Elephas maximus indicus: one gene and its partner. The protein of the gene in region 1 purifies or fractionates together with the protein of each later gene. This does not show direct contact. Links are inferred from orthologs where the notes say so. Each region holds a gene or a part of one and is shown in the gene's direction. Other genes may lie near its edges.

Evidence for each region. The genes of interacting proteins can lie anywhere in the genome.
Region 2: the proteins of NEK1 (region 1) and CFAP410 purify together in Homo sapiens (affinity purification with mass spectrometry; 3 studies listed by BioGRID and IntAct, with this or other methods). This does not show direct contact. The link is inferred for Elephas maximus indicus from reciprocal best matches to the Homo sapiens genes NEK1 and CFAP410.

Annotation. Positions count from the first base shown.
Region 1 is NC_064839.1:65,458,569-65,466,615, reverse strand, and holds the start of NEK1 (serine/threonine-protein kinase Nek1), read left to right. Parts: upstream 1-4,765; 5' UTR 4,766-5,336; intron 5,337-5,807; 5' UTR 5,808-5,868; intron 5,869-5,881; exon of another isoform or gene 5,882-6,943; intron 6,944-8,047. UniProt on the Homo sapiens protein: Phosphorylates serines and threonines, but also appears to possess tyrosine kinase activity. Involved in DNA damage checkpoint control and for proper DNA damage repair.
Region 2 is NC_064820.1:228,647,029-228,655,307, reverse strand, and holds the start of CFAP410 (cilia- and flagella-associated protein 410), read left to right. Parts: upstream 1-5,052; 5' UTR 5,053-5,152; coding exon 5,153-5,229; intron 5,230-8,279. UniProt on the Homo sapiens protein: Plays a role in cilia formation and/or maintenance. Plays a role in the regulation of cell morphology and cytoskeletal organization. Involved in DNA damage repair.

The DNA of each region.
Region 1 (8,047 bases):
TTCCCAGTCTGTAGGTAATCTTTTTACTCTTTTGGTGAAGTCTTTGGATGAGCAAAGGTGTTTGGTTTTTAGGAGCTCCCAGTTATCTAGTTTCTCTTCTGGTGTTTGTGCATTGTTAGTAATGTTCTGTATACTGTTTATGCCATGTATTAGGACTCCTAGTGTTGTCCCTATTTTTTCTTCCATGATCTTCATCGTTTTAGATTTTATATTTAGGTCTTTGATCCATTTTCAGTTGGTTTTTGTGCATGGTGTGAGGTATGGGTCTTGTTTCATTTTTTTGCAGATGGATATCCAGTTATGCCAGCACCATTTGTTGAAAAGACTGTCTTTTCCCCATTTAACAGACTTTGGGTGTTTGTCAAATAACAGCTGCTCATATGTGGATGGATTTATGTCTGGATTCTCAATTCTCTTCCATTGGTCTATGTATCTCTTGTTGTACCAGTACCAGGCTGTTTTGGCTACTGTGGTGGCATAATAGGTTCTAAAATCAGTTAGTGTGAGGCCTCCCACTTTGTTCTTCCTTTTCAGTAATGCATTACTTATCTGGGGCCTCTTTCCCTTCCCTATGAAGTTGGTAATTTGTTTCTCCATCTCATTAAAAAATGTTGTTTTGGAATTTGGATTGGAATTGCATTGTATCTGTAGATCGCTTTTGGTAGAATAGACATTTTTGCAATGTTAAGTCTTTCTATCCATGAGCGAGGTATGTTTTTCCACTTATGTAGGTCTTTTTTGGATTCTTGCACTAGTGTCTTGTAGTTTTCTTTGTATAGGTCTTTTATGTCTCTGGTAAGATTTATTCCTAAGTATTTTATCTTCTTGGGGGCTACTGTGAATGGTATTGATTTTGTGATTTCCTCTTTGATGTTCTTTTTGTTGGTGTAGAGGAATCCAACTGATTTTTGTATGTTTATCTTGTATCCTGACGTTCTGCTGAACTCTTCTATTACCTTCAGTAGTTTTCTTGAGGATTCCTTAGGTTTTTCTGTGTATAAGATCAAGTCATCTGCAAATAGAGATACTTTTACTTCTTCCTTACCAATCTGGATGCCCTTTATTTCTTTATCCAGCCTAATTGCTCTGGCTAGGACCTCCAGCACAATGTTGAATAAGAGTGGTGATAAACGCATCCTTGTCTAGTTCCCGTTCTCAAGGGAAATGCTTTCAGACTCTCTCCATTTAGGATGATGTTGGCTGTTGGCTTTGTATAAGTGCCCTTTATACAATCGTCACATTTTTAAAAGTTAATTTAATGTTGGCAATTTTTTTTTAAATGGAAATACTGTTACAGTATTCCTGATTATAAAAACAAACTTTTTTTTTCAAAATAATGAAGAGACAAACAGGGAATTGGTAAATGGAACAGAAATGCAGAAATAGATACAAGTACAAATGGTAGTCTTAATATATGATAAAGCTTACATTTAATTAATGGTCCTGGCATAATTGGCTTTCCTGCAGAAGAACAGAAAGCTAATCTCCCTATTTAATCTTATACAAAAGTATATTTCAAATACATTAAATATATTTAACGAAAAAATATAAAAACATTTAGGTTATCTGGTTAACTTGGGCCTGAAGGAGTATCTGCAAGGCTAGAAACCTAAATGACAAAGGAAATACCACATAAAAATTTACAATTTTCTGTATGGCCAAAGACATCATAAAACAAGTCAAAATTTGAGTCAGAAACTGGCAGAAAACATTTGTCCCACAATATGACAAAGGATTAAGTTTTGTATCTTACAAATAATTCCTATAAATTGATTTAAAAAAAAAAAAAGGCAAAGCATATGAAAGGCAGGCAAGTCACAGTGGAGGACATTCAAATGACTAATGTGAAAAGTGCAACAGCAGATTGACAAAATTAAGAGAAAAACTTTTAGTGTAGTGGAAACAGGTACTTTTTGTATAAAGCTGCTGATAGTGTGAATTTTATTATGAAAAGCAATTCAGTGGGTAGTAGATAGACTCCAAAGATGGCTATCATGATTCCTCCCCTCTCCATGAATCTTGCTTGGCCTTGTGACTTGTTTTGACCAAGAATGTGGCAGAAGTGATACCTATTCTGGGCCTACCCTTTGAAAATGGAAATATTGTTACAGTATTCCTGACGGCTTCTACTTCTTCTCTATTCAAAGCCAGCTGCATGTAAAGGATATGACTACGATGTTGTGATCAAGCCCAAGATGGTAATATGGAGAGAGAAACGTCATATGGCGAAGCACCAAGACACTAGATACGTGAGTGAAGCTTCTTGGATCATCCAGTCCAGTACGGTTGCTAGCTGAATAAAGCTAGGTGAGTGATCCCAGCCAATGCCGTATGGAGCAAAAGAACCACCCAACAGAACCCTGCCTGATTTCCTAACCACAAAATTATAAGAAATAATCATTGTTGTTTTAGGTCACTAAGTTTTAGGGTGGTTTGTCACATACAATACATAACTAAAGTAGGGTTATCTATTAAAGTGAAAAAGAAAAACAAAAACAAAAAACCTCATGACCCAGCAAACCCACTTTTAGGAACCTATCTTTCAGAAATAACACCAACTGGGAACGTTCGCTATGTCTTTTGGAGGGACGGGGTATGGTTGAATAGATTTGGGTACATCCACACCATGGAACATTAATATCATTTGGAACAATTAGTTGATCCCTGGATAGATTTTCATAATATATTATTAAATTTAAAAGTCCAGTTTGTAAAATAATGTATGTTCTATAATCCCATTAAAAAATTAAGAGTAATATATATGAATAGAGGCTTAGTTATGATTTTATGCACTTAGAGAAAAATGTAGATGGATATTCATGAAACTGTTAACACTGGGTTTCACGGAGGAGTTGAGTGCCAGGTTGAGTTCAGAGAACAAAAACTCTAGGCCTTATCTTTGTACACCTATGCTACTGTTTTGCTGCAGGGAACAAAGACTAGCATAGTTGTTTAAAAGAAAAATGCAATACATTTTTTAAAGGGAAAGAATGAAAGATATAGAAAACCATTCCTGTTAAAGGAAAAGTATGGAAGTATATAAGCCAGAAAATGAAAGCATCAATTAATCCTCTTAACCCAGGTTAGAGTGACCTGCTTTGTATATTCAACAATACATCAAAGGCACCTGTGTCAACAAAATAGGTCCCCATCACCCTTTGAAATGGTTCCAGATTATTCCACTGTTTGGAAAGGCTGTAATTTCTTTAATTGACTTCTTATTGTTAGACATTCACATTGTAATTTTTCTGGCTATAAACAACAATGGTTATCCTTGTATACACATCTTTTATCAGTTGTTCTAAAACTCAAATTACTGAGTCAAAGCATACGCATGTCTTCTAGAAAGGCTGTAGCAGTTTCTATACTCGTTAACAGTTACAACAGGCACCTAAAGAATTATCTAAGGAGGTTTCTGACTAGTTCTTTATGCAAGCAGCAAAAAAGAATTTGCTCAGATTAGCAATTGGGAATGTTTTCATGCTGCTTCGCTTACAGAGGGAAGTGGGTAGAGCTAGAATTATTGTGCACACAGCAGAATTCCTATTGACTAACTGGGGGTGGGAAAGGTCACAGAAGGTTAGCCCAGAAGTTAGACGAATGAGGAAAACAGACCTTGTGTAGCAGCATGGAGACCGAAGAGGACATAAACCAAGGCAGATTTTCTCCAGCTTGCCAGGTTGGATAACTTGCAGTGCCATCTTCTGGCAAAAAAAAAAAAAAAAAAAGCCAAGTCTTTCAATTTGCATGCTAAATCAAAGACCTAGACACAAGAACCCAAGGATGACCTCGGGTGTGTAGAGTGTTGAGGAAAGGAGGTGGGGGAGAAGGGGTGGATTTTTTTGAAGCAAAAATCTGAATCATTTCACCTCTGAGGTCTCCGGCACAATCTGTGGTCTTTCCAACGTGGCTGTATACAACACACGGACAACTTGTACAATACAGAGTGCAACAACTAAAGTAGCATACAAAGCCGTTGCCATCCTTCGGCTTGACACCTGGATTCCCTCGGAGTGCCTCGGAGTTACTCCGTGTAAGGCAACCTAGCTGTAGGGCTACTCGGGACAACACCCGACTTGATCCCTTGTTACAGCTTCAGGGGAATCTGGTCCTATCTCCGGAGAACTTGCAGTGAAGAAAGGTGCTTAGAATACTATACACTGCCAAGCGGTTCAACATACAGGCAGGTAATTTATATGTACACACACTAGATGTCAAAGCGTAGGAAACAACATTACGCCTTTCAACTTTTTAAAATTTCAAGGTTTAAGAATACTCCCTTGCTTTGATCATCCAAACTATACTAGAAAAAAAAAAAAAACTAGCTTTTTAGGCAAAATTATTTTTTAAAAATGTGGCACCCTAAGTTGTATACTATTAAGTACTTTTTTTTTGCTTGATAAAATTCCTTTGAGTAGTGTGTGTGGGACAATTTTATGATACGCTGTATTCCAAGTTAGCTTCTATTTGGGAGCTTTCGCCCTTATCTCTATCTTACTTCTTCCATCTTTACACTCCTACTTTTCCACCTTCTTCCACATTTACTTTCCTTCCCTGGTGGCTTCTCAGGTCAGCAGAGCCCTGACAACGTCTCGCACGGACTCCGCCGGCTTCCGCCCCGCCCCGCCCCGAGGCCCCGCCCCGTTCCCAGAGGCTCCGCCCCGTTCACGGGAGGCTCCGCCCCGCCTCGCCGCTCGCTCCGGGCCACTCCACAGACACGCCCCCTTCGTGCGTAGACGTCACACGCCGGCGCCAGTGACGTACTGACCGCTCCCCCTGCCTCCCGGCACCAGGGTTCTGTTGCGCTGGCGTGCGGAGTGCCCCGCTCGGAGTCCCAAGCACTTTCCCCGCGTTGGTCCTCCGCGTAGCCGGGAGTGTAGAGCCGGCGTTGCGAGGCCGCAGGACGCCGCAGGCAGGTAGCCTCCCCGGACCAAACGCTGCCCTCCCTCCCACTCCGCTGAGGCCGCTAGCAACCACCTCTGAAGTTGGAGATGCGGTAACGGAGTCACTCCCCCCGCTGCCGCCTCCCGTTTCCAAGGGGCTCCGAAACCAGTTTGTTTTATCGGGATAGTGTGGAGCTGCCTCACAGGGCGTTGCCCGAGGCGGGACGTAGTCAAGCCCGAGGTGTCAGCCAAAGGGTGGTGTCAGCTGTGGGACTCTCCCAGTCCCCCCTTTCTGGGCTGTGAGCTGCTGCTGGGTAGATCCCTTTCAGGATGTCATTTTCAAAATGCGGGATGATACCTCTGCCTTAGTAGGTCCTTTGAGAAGACTGCTACACCTAGACTAATGCTTATCGATCATCACCGTTATTCCTACTAAAGCCCTGTGTCATTGAGGTGAGTTGCACTTGGGGGAAGCAATGGCATGCAGAATAGTGAAATGATAATGAAAATGAGAAGAAAGACCGTGCTTAGACTTGCTTACATAGAGATGGAACGGAGTGTTTACATAGGAAACACTTTCATGTCATTACAATTTAATTCTCTAAGGAAAAGTATGTATTTAAAAGCAATCATTTGACATTATTTAAGAAGCCGTACTGATAATGAAATTAAAATAATAATAGAAATTTTGCTATGGATAAGGTATCATTTAAATTGCTTAAATGCTGGTTGACTCTGATCTTAAAGTAGTGGTCTCTGATTTTAATTAGGAGTGGGAAAAAATGAGGTAGCAAGTAACATGTTACTCTAAAATCTTACATTTCAGTTTTCATGGTTTGACACAATTTCCGTATGTAAGACATTAAAAGTTCTACTACTTTCAGTATGTATCATAACTCATTTCTTATTTCTTTTTGCTTATAGGCCTGTTTTTTATTCTCGAATGTAAAATTTGTCTCCAGAAGCAGAATTTTTTATTGCCTTGGTAAGTTACATTAGAAATGTTTGTGAAGGATTAAAAGTAATGTTCGGTATAAGTTAATATGTTATATCGCGCAGCACTGTTGTAGAGATGATGGAGAGGAGCCAAATGTAGAGAGAAATAGCCTTCTGTTTCCAGTATGGATTTGTCTGTCTGCAGATCTGTTTCATTTAAAATTGCCCGTTGTTCTAGGTGAAATGTAAGGAGCCTGTTTTGTGGGAAAACAGGTTTTTTTTATACAGTAAGTGTCACCGTTTGGAGTTTAGTAAAGATCATGAAACTTGGCTTCAGGAGTTCTTTTGAGGTCAAGTTAATAATACGTCGACATTGTATTCCAAGTGTATTTTACTCTTTCTCATCTTCTGTCTTCTGATCTAAGTAGTGAACATGACACCTTCTCCTGAATATACATTTTTTATTTACGTGTCGGTAGTTTCCACTACAGAAGCTGTTAATTGTTGTCCGAATGAACTTAGAAAGAGGAAAAAACAAATAGTTTCAAAAAAGTCTAATAGCATCCCATTTTTGCTTTCTATGTTTTTCCATAATAAGTAATGATTACACCTCAGTATAAAGAAAACAAAAACCCTCACGACTGGACCAATAAGCAACATCATGACAAACGGAGAAAAGATTGAAGTTGTCAAGGATTTCATTTTACTTTGGGTCTGCTGTCAACACCCATGGAAGCAGCAGTCAGGAAATCAAATGTATTGCATTGGGCAGATGTGCTGCAAAAGACCTCTTTGAAGTGTTCAAAATCGGAGATACCACTTTGAGGACTAAGGTGCACCCAACCCAAGCGATTGGTATTTTTAGTCACCTCATATGCATGTGAAAGTTGGACAATGAATAAGGAAGAATGAAGAAGAATTGATGCATTTGAATTATAGTGTTCATGAAGAATATTGAATATACTGTGGACTGCCAGAAGAACAAAACTAATCTGTCTTGGAAGAAGTACAGCCAGAATGATCCTTAGAAGTGAGGATGGTGAGACTTCGTCTCATGTACTTCGGACGTGTTTTCGGGAGAGACCAGTCCCTGGAGAAGGATGTCATGCTTTGTAAAGTAGAAGGTCAGTGAAAAAGAGAAAGACCCTCAACAAGATGGATTGACACAGTGGCTGCAAATTGGGTTCAAACATAGCAACAATTGTGACGATGGTATAGGACTGGGCATTGTTTCGTTCTGTTGTACATAGCATCACTAGGAGTCAGAATTGCCTGGATGGCACCTAACAACAACAACGATAAGATGTAATGCAGCAACTTTCCTCACTGAGAGGATAAATTCACACTGTGTCACAATTTATAATGGTATTTATAGTTTAGAGAGAACTGTATGTATTGATTGTAGCTACAGATAGTACCATAAGGATTTCTTGAATCTCTTGATCTTCCTTTATCAATGTTTTTCTTCAGGACAGCCTGTCCATCAAATATGTGAAACAGCTGATGAGGGCATCATACTGTCAGATTTGTGCGGATATAGTTTTTGATTCATATAATCTGACATTTTTCATGTCTAGTACACAAAATTTTTATTATGTCAAACATTGCTTGCTTATGGCTTTAAAGAAATTCTTAGTAGAATGTGACGGAAAATGTCTTTAATTTGCCTAGGATATCTTTTCTAGACCATAGTCGACATACTTGAAAAGTAGAGTGATACCGTGTAGAAAAGCCTTGAATGTCAAGGTGAAGAGTTTGGAAATGAACTGTTCAAGAATTTTAACCAAATTAATTTAGCTAGGGTTCTCTCTACTTCTTTCTATCAGTATTTATTACTCTTTTTGACATTTATTTTGTTGTTTTCAATAGATAATACATTCATATGGTTCAATATTGAGAAGGTACAAAAGATTGAAAAAAATCTTTGCCCCATCTACTTAATACCCTTCCCTGAAAGCAGTCAATATTACCACTTTATTGTGTATCCCTCCAGAAATGATATTTACAAGGAATTGCGTGTATGTGTATGTGTGTGAAAGCAGGTTTTTATATAGTAAGTCACTGGTAGTTTATTACCGAATCAGTTGTCATCAAGTCGATTCCCAGTCATAGAGACCCCATGTGTATCAGAGAAGAACTGTACTCCATAGTGTTTTCAGTGGCAGATTTTTCGGAAGTAGGTATCAGGCCTTTCTTTGGAGATGTCTCTGGGTAGGCTTAACTGAGTG
Region 2 (8,279 bases), on another chromosome or scaffold:
ACCAAAAGAGTAAAAAGACCACCTACAGACTGGGAAAGAATTTTCAGCTATGACATCTCAGACCAGCGCCTGATCTCTAAAATCTACATGATTTTGTCAAAACTCAACCACAAAAAGACAAACAACCCAATCAAGAAGTGGGCAAAGGATATGAACACACATTTCACTAAAGAAGATATTCAGGCAGCCAACAGATACATGAGAAAATGCTCTCGATCATTAGCCATTAGAGAAATGCAAATTAAAACTACGATGAGATTCCATCTCACTCCAACAAGGCTGGCATTAATCCAAAAAACACAAAATAATAAATGTTGGAGAGGCTGCGGAGAGATTGGAACTCTTACACACTGCTGGTGGGAATGTAAAATGGTACAACCACTTTGGAAATCTATCTGGCGTTATCTTAAACAGTTAGAAATAGAACTACCATACAACCCAGAAATCCCACTCCTCGGAATATACCCTAGAAATACAAGAGCCTTCACACGAACAGATATATGCACACCCATGTTTATTGCAGCTCTGTTTACAATAGCAAAAAGCTGGAAACAACCAAGGTGTCCATCAACGGATGAATGGGTAAATAAATTGTGGTATATTCACACGATGGAATACTACGCATCGATAAAGAACAGTGACGAATCTGTGAAACATTTCATAACGTGGAGGAACCTGGAAGGCATTATGCTGAGCGAAATGAGTCAGAGGCAAAAGGACAAATATGGTATAAGACCACTATTATAAGAGCTTGAGAAATAGTAAAAACTGAGAAGAACACATACTTCTGTGGTTACGAAGGGGGGAGGGAGGGAGGGAGGGAGAGGGTTTTTTATTGATTAATTAGTAGATAAGAACTGCTTTGGGTGAAGGGAAAGACAACACTCAATACATGGAAGGTCAGCTCAATTGGACTGGACCAAAAGCAAAGAAGTTTCCGGGATAAAATGAATGCTTCAAAGGTCAGCGGAGCAGGGGTGGGGGTCTGGGGACCATGGTTTGAGGGGACTTCTAAGTCAATTGGCAAAATAATTCTATTATGAAAACATTCTGCATCCCACTTTGAAATGTGGCATCTGGGGTCTTAAATGCTAACAAGTGGCCATCTAAGATGCATCAATTGGTCTCAACCCACCTGGAGCAAAGGAAAATGAAGAACACCAAGATCACACGACAACTAAGAGCCCAAGAGACAGAAAGGGCCACATGAACCAGAGACCTACATCATCCTGAGACCAGAAGAACTAGTTGGTGCCCGGCCACAATCGATGACTGCCCTGACAGGGAGCACAACAGAGAACTCCTGAGGGAACAGGAGATCAGTGGGATGCAGACCCCAAATTCTCATAAAAAGACCATACTTAATGATCTGACTGAGACTAGAGGAATCCCAGCGGCCATGCTCCCCAGACCTTCTGTCGGCACAGGACAGGAACCATCCCCGAAGACAACTCATCAGACATGAAAGGGACTGGTCAGTGGGTGGGAGAGAGATGCTGATGAAAAGTGAGCTAATTATATCAGATGGACACTTGAGAGTGTGTTGGCAACTCTTGCCTCGAGGGGGGATGGGAGGATAGAGAGAGAGGGAAGCTGGCAAAATTGTCACGAAAGGAGAGACTGAAAGGGCTGACTCAATAGGGGAAGAGCAAGTGGGAGTACGGAGAAAGATGTATGTAAACTTATATGTGACAGACTGATTGGATTTGTAAACGTTCACTTGAAGCTTAATAAAAGTTAATAAAAAAAAAAAAAAAACTTGTTGCCATTGAATTACTTCCAACTCATAACGACCCTATAGGACAGAGTAGAACTGCCCCATAGGGTTTCCAAGGAGCGCCTGGTGGATTCGACCTGCCAGCCTTTTGGTCAGCAGTGGTAGCTCTTAACTGCTATGCCACCAGGGTTTCCTGGAACTATATATTGGGAAGGGAATTCTGGGAAATGCAGCCTAGCCATATTGACAGAACTAAAACCATCACACTTGGACCTACAACTCAACTTAATCCTTGCTTCTCATTAAACAATTAATAAACACATTGTTTTATGACGTTGGTTGCCAACAGTACGACATGTCAACACTCTCCCCTTCTCAACCTTGAGTCCCCCATTACCATCTTTCCTGTCCCCTCCTGCCTTCTTGTCCTTTCCCCTGGGTTGGTGTGCCCATTTAGTCTCATTTTGTTTTACGGGCCTGTCTAGTCTTTGGCTGAAGGGTGAACCTCAGGAGTGACTTCAGTACTGAGTTAAAAGGGTGTATGGGGACCATACTCTCTGGGTTTCTCCAGTCTCTGTCAGGCCAGTAAATTTGGTCTTCTTTTTGTGAGTTAGAATTTTGTTCTACATTTATTTCCAGCTCTGTCTGGGACCCTCTATTGTGATCCCTATCAGAGCAGTCAATGGTGGTAGCTGGGTACATTCTAGTTGTGCTAGACTCAGTCTGGTGGAGGCTGTGGTATTTGTGACCCATTAATTCTTTGGACTAATCTTTCCCTTGTGTTTTTGGTTTTCTTCATTCTCCTTTGCTCCAGATGGGGTGGGAGCAGTGGAGTATCTTAGATGACCGCTCACAAGCTTTTAAGACTCCAGATGCTACTCACCAAAGTAGGATGTAGAACATTTTCTTTATAAAGTATGTTATGCCAGTTGAGCTAGATATCCCCCAAGACCATGGTCCCCAGCTCCACAGGATTTTCAATGGCTGATATTTTGGAAGTAAATCAACAGATCTTTCTTCCAAGGTGCTTCTAGGTGGATTCAAACCACCAACCTCTCAGTTAGCAGCCAAGTGTTTTAACCATCTGCACCACCCAGACACTCCCAGAGGGTGGCTAAGGGTCTGAATTATTTGAAGGTGCTGATGAATTCAGGGAGAGGGGCCATCTCACCCAGGTAGGGTCAAGAAAGGATGAGCAGGGCCAGCAACTAGGGCACCCTTTTCCCATTAGTGGCTAGCCCACTGGCATTGCTCCCAGTATAAGATGCTCCAGCATTTGCCTACTTGGCCCTCCCTAGAGCAAAAGATGGGGTTTGCCAAAGCCTGGAGACTCTTGATTCCCTCTGTGGATGGTGCTGTTTCCCACACCTCAGCAGCCTTTCTGTGGATACTTCTGCACCACATCTTGGCACTAAAGGTCAGTTCTCAGCAGCCTCTGCTTTGCCCTCATCCACCTGATATACCACCAAGCTGGGACAGTCCAGAAGCCCTCTGCAAGCACACACAGCATAAGCCTGCTGGAAGCTCCCCACTGCTCTTTGTGGCTCTGACTCTGGTTTCTGCGTTCCTCTGAGGTCAAGCCTTGTCAGCCCCATGAAGAGGAGTCAGAATGCTCTCTCCCTGCTTGGAAGCCAAGAGCTGAGAGGTACCCCTCTGAGATTGTCCACCCTCCAGTCTCACACTGCCCCCAATCATCAGTTATGCAACATCATGCTGAGCCCTGCCTCATACCCCAGGCTCTAGGCAGTTCCATTACTAGAATGGTTTCTCCTCTGCAGGCCACTCACTGAGTGTATTAACTCTTTGCACCACCCAGGGACTCCTTCTCTGGTTCCTGACAGGTTTAAATACATGTGAGGTTTCTGTGGGTGAAACAAATAGCACTCGACTGCTAGCCAAAAGGTTGGTGGTTAGAACTCACCCAGATATGCCTGGAAGAAAGGACAAGTGATCTGCTTCAGAAAGAATCAACTGGCTGGGCAGCAACTAACAACTTCTCCATAAATGTAATCTCATCACCCTAAAACTTCCCTGGATTTTTTATTGCAAGAGTTAAATCACCCTAAGCCAGAGCAGGTATAATCTATACTGAAGGCTGTAGTCTTTGATCTTCATCAGTAAGTGCTTCAAGTCCTCTTCACTTTCAGCAAGCAAGGTTGGCAAGCTACATATCGCGGGTTGTTGAGTCTTCCTCTGATCCTGATGCAGCATTCTTCTTCATATAGTCTGTCTTCTTCGATTATTTACTCATCATACGGATTGAATATGTATGGTGAAGTGATACAACCCTGACACACACCTTTCCTGATTTTAAACCGCACGGTATCCCTTTGTTCTATTTGAACAACTTTTCCTTGAACTATACACAGGTTCTGCATGAGCACAATTAAGTGCTCTGAAATTCCCTTTCTTTGCGATGTTATCCATAATTTGTTACTATCACCTCAATATAAAAAAAAAAATACAACTGGACCAATGAGCAACATCATGATCAACAGAGAAATACTGAAGTTGTCAAAGATTTCCTTTTACTTGGATCCACAATCAACGCCCATGGAAGCAGCAGTCAACAAATCAAATTATGTATTGCATCGGGCAAATCTGCTGCAAAAGACCTCTTTAAAGTGTTAAAAAGCAAAGATGTCACCTCAAGGACTAAGGTGCGGCTAACCCAAGTCATGGTATTTTCAATAGCCTCATGCATGCTAAAGATGGACAATGACTACGGAAGACTAAAGAAGAATTGATGCCTTCGAATTATGGTGTTTGCGAAGAATATTGAATATACCATTTCCAAAAGAATGAACAAATCTGTCTTGGAAGACAGCCAGAACGTTCCTTAGAAGCAAGGATGACGAGGCTTCGTCTCACGTACTTTGGACATTTATCAAGAGGGACCAGTCCCTGGAGAAGGACATTATGCTTGGTAAAGTGGAGGGTCAGCGAAACAGAGGAAAACCCTCAACCAGATGGATTGATACAGTGGCTCTAACACTAAGCTCAAATACAGCAACAATTGTGAGGATGACAGGATCCGGCAGTGTTTTGCTCTGTTGTATATAAGGTCGCTATGAGTCCGAACCGACTCCACCGCACCTAACAACCAGCCAGAGCAGCAGAGAGACGACCCCAGTCCCTGACAGTGGCGGTGAGGACCGAACTGATAGAGCCACCCAATTATGTGCCCACACGCAGAGATCACACTGCGCACGCGCAAAACCACGGACGGAGTCGAGGAGGGGCGGGGCCGAGGGTGCCCAGCGGAAGCCCCACGCCGGGCCGCCAATGGGCTCGCAGGGCCCTCCCTGCCGACACGCCCCGCCCCTGACGACTCGCCCCGCCCCTGGAGACGCGCGGCGCGGAGCCGGAACCCGAGGCTGAGCGGCTGGGTCGGGCCCTGGCAGGCCCGCCTGGGGTCCGGGCAGCTCGGCCGCCATGAAGCTGACGCGGAAGATGGTGCTGTCCCGGGCCAAGGCCTCGGAGCTGGACAGTGTGCGAAAGCTCAACTGCTGGTGAGGGCCGGGGCCGCCCTGCGTTCTTGCCGCCGGCATCTCCGCCCGGGCGGGGGGCTGCGGCGAGCGGAGCCGGAGCGCGAGGGGATCGGAGCGAGCCGGGGCCCGAGGCGCCTCGGGCCGAGCCTCTGCGCCGCCGCCCCACAGCGGCCCTGGCGGCCTGCTGCTCCGGGGCCCGCGGGAGGTGCTGCCTCAAGCCCAGGTGGCCGCTGGCACAAAGGCCATTCCAGAACCTTCACGCCCCCTGAGCGGTGGTGTTTGGGACCCAGGCTCAGACAGGCTGCCTTTCCTTAAAACACCTAGAATTTTCTCCAAGTCTCGTTGCCCGGTTTTAAATAGCTTTACTGGGGGCAGATGGTTCCCTCTGGATGGGTCTGACATATGGACGAGGACTGGGACTCAGAAATCATGATTCCCTAAGCATGGACAGGGCACGTTTAGTTCTGTTGCGTGTGTATCAAGGAGCCCGGGTGCTTGGCTGCTAACCCAAAGCCACCAGTGGGGGAGAGATGTGGCAGTCAGCTTCCATGAAGATTGCAGCCTTGAAAGGCTTCCGGGTTTTCAACTCTGTCTGCTGTTCTACTCTGTCCCCGTGGGTTGCTATGAGTCAGAAGCACACAACAACATATGTAAGTCAGAGCTGACTCACAGCACCTGACCACAAGAAGCGTGTATGTAATTAAGTACTTGGGGGAAGGGGCCTGTCCCCAGACGATGTGATGTTTGGGAGGGAAGTGGCAGGAAAGCATACAGGAACTGTGGAATCAGAGCAGCCACAGGTGGGAGTAGCCAGGGCTAGCTGGGACCAGGGAGGACCAGAAGCACTTCCCAGAGGAGGTAGCCTGGAGCTGGGATCTGAAAGACACACGGGTGGTCACTGGGGACTCAGAGCAAGGCTTAATGCTCACCTGTAGGCTGGACAGGTAGCTAGGTAGGGAGTGGGCTGCACAGCCAAGGGCAGACCCTTCCTCACACTGACTTCTGCGAATAGACTGTAGGTGTTACTTAAAAAGCCTTTTTACCGTGGCACATCTGGTATCTTGCCAAAATTTCCCTTCTGCCATTTGCTTTCAATAATGCGTTTCTTTGTTTTGGAAAGAGTATGCAAGTCTCTGGTCTTACTTGCTCTGAGCGGGGAGAAACAATAATCCTACTTCAGACTTTCTGAGGTTTGTTTCATAAGTCGGGTGTTTAGCCTTCGAACTTGGCCTCTTACTTAGAAAGACACCCTTGTTTGCATCAGTGAAGGAGATTAACTGTCTATCCTGTGGCCACTGTGAGAATGAACAAATCGTTTCTGTCCTGCAAATAACAGCAACCAGCACTGCTCCTTTGTCCGAGAAGTACCCCCAGGCATCAGACATACCCAATTTTTTTGAAAATCAGCCAAGAAATGATTCTTGGCCGCCTTTGTCAGTTATCTGAGCAGTCTTTCTGGTTGTTGTTGCCGTTGAGTTGATTCCAACCCTTTTGGAGCAGATTGCCAGGCCTTTTTTTCAAGCTGCCTCTGGGTGGGTTTGAGCCACCGTTTGGGCCGCCTGGGGACTCCTGTTTTGACTCCTTAGGACAGAAGAAATAAAGTATAGCTGCAATATCTCCTTTGTATCTGTCTATAGGTAGATATTCTAAACAATCAAATAAGTTCCAAGGCTTCATCCAAGCTCGTGTCAAGCTATCTATCAACCAAGCCTTCCCTGGAGCAGCAAAGTCTAACACTGACAAGATGAGAAAAGGGGGTAGGAACACCCCCCCAAGGGTAGCAGGTCTACCCTATCCCTTTATCTCACACTTCCTGGCACCAGTTCTCTTCACCTGCAGAAACCATTCCATATAAAACTGCCTACCCTCCATTTTCTTCCCCCAGAACCTGAAAGCTCCTGGGTAGTGTTCAGGGAAGGAGCCCTGGTGGCACAGTGGTTAAGTGCTCGGCTGCTAAGCACAGGGTCTGTGGTTTGAACCCACCAGCTGCTTCTTAGTAGAAAGATGTGGCAGTCTGCTTCCATTAAGATTACAGCCTTGGAAACCCTATGGGGCAGGTCTACTCTATCCTGTAGGGTTGCTATGAGTCGGAATCGACGGCAACAGGTTTAAGGTTCTGGAATTGAACAATATTCCTGTCAAATGGCAAAGAACAGAGCTTTGGTATGAGACACATTTGGCTTTAAATCTTAGTTGCACTTCTGGCTAGCTTTATTGCCTTGAGCAAATTACTTCTTTGTTACAGCCACATCTTTATAGCTGTAAAAGCAGAGTGCTACAGCTTACCTCACGGTATTGTTGGGAAGATTAGAGAAATAAACTCAGGCCCCCAGTGTTTGCTCAGTAAATATGTTTCTCTCCGCTTTTCTTCTCTGATAAAAGGAAAACTTGAGCGTATCATCCCAGAGTGTCAGATGTGGGGGGAGGCAGGCAGTTGTTGGTGAACTCCTGGTCTCTGTAAAAAACTTTTGTATTCATAGTAAACAGGCATGGAACAAAGGAATCTGCAGTGTATTTTAGCATTTTAGATTTCATCATCAACAGGAAAAGTTCCAGAAATCAGACAAAAAGAATGAATATTACTGATGAAGAGTGAGCTAATTAAATCAGGTGGACACAGGAGAGTGTGTTGGCAACTCTTGACTGGAGGGGGGATGGGAAGATAGAGAGAGAGGGAAGAAGGTAAAATTGGCACGAAACGAGAGACTGTAAGGGCTGACTCAATAGGGGGAGAGCAAGTGGGAGAAGGGAGTAAGATGTATGTAAACCTACATGTGACAGACTGATTGGAATGGTAAATGTTCACTTGAAGCTTAATAAAAATTAAAAAAAAAAAAAAAAAAAGAATGAATATACACACATAACTCTAGAGCTTTGTAAAGTGCAAAAAAAAAAAAAAAAAAAAACCCTGTTAATCACATCTAGCTTGCAGGTCAACATAAAGTAACTTTCTTTGTAGTCTTTTACTGCATCTTAAAAAATCAGACTCTTAAGGTTTGTGGGCATTCACCATTCATTTCGGAAAAAAAAAAATTTTTTTCCCCTTTTCATTCAACTTCAGCAAAATTAAA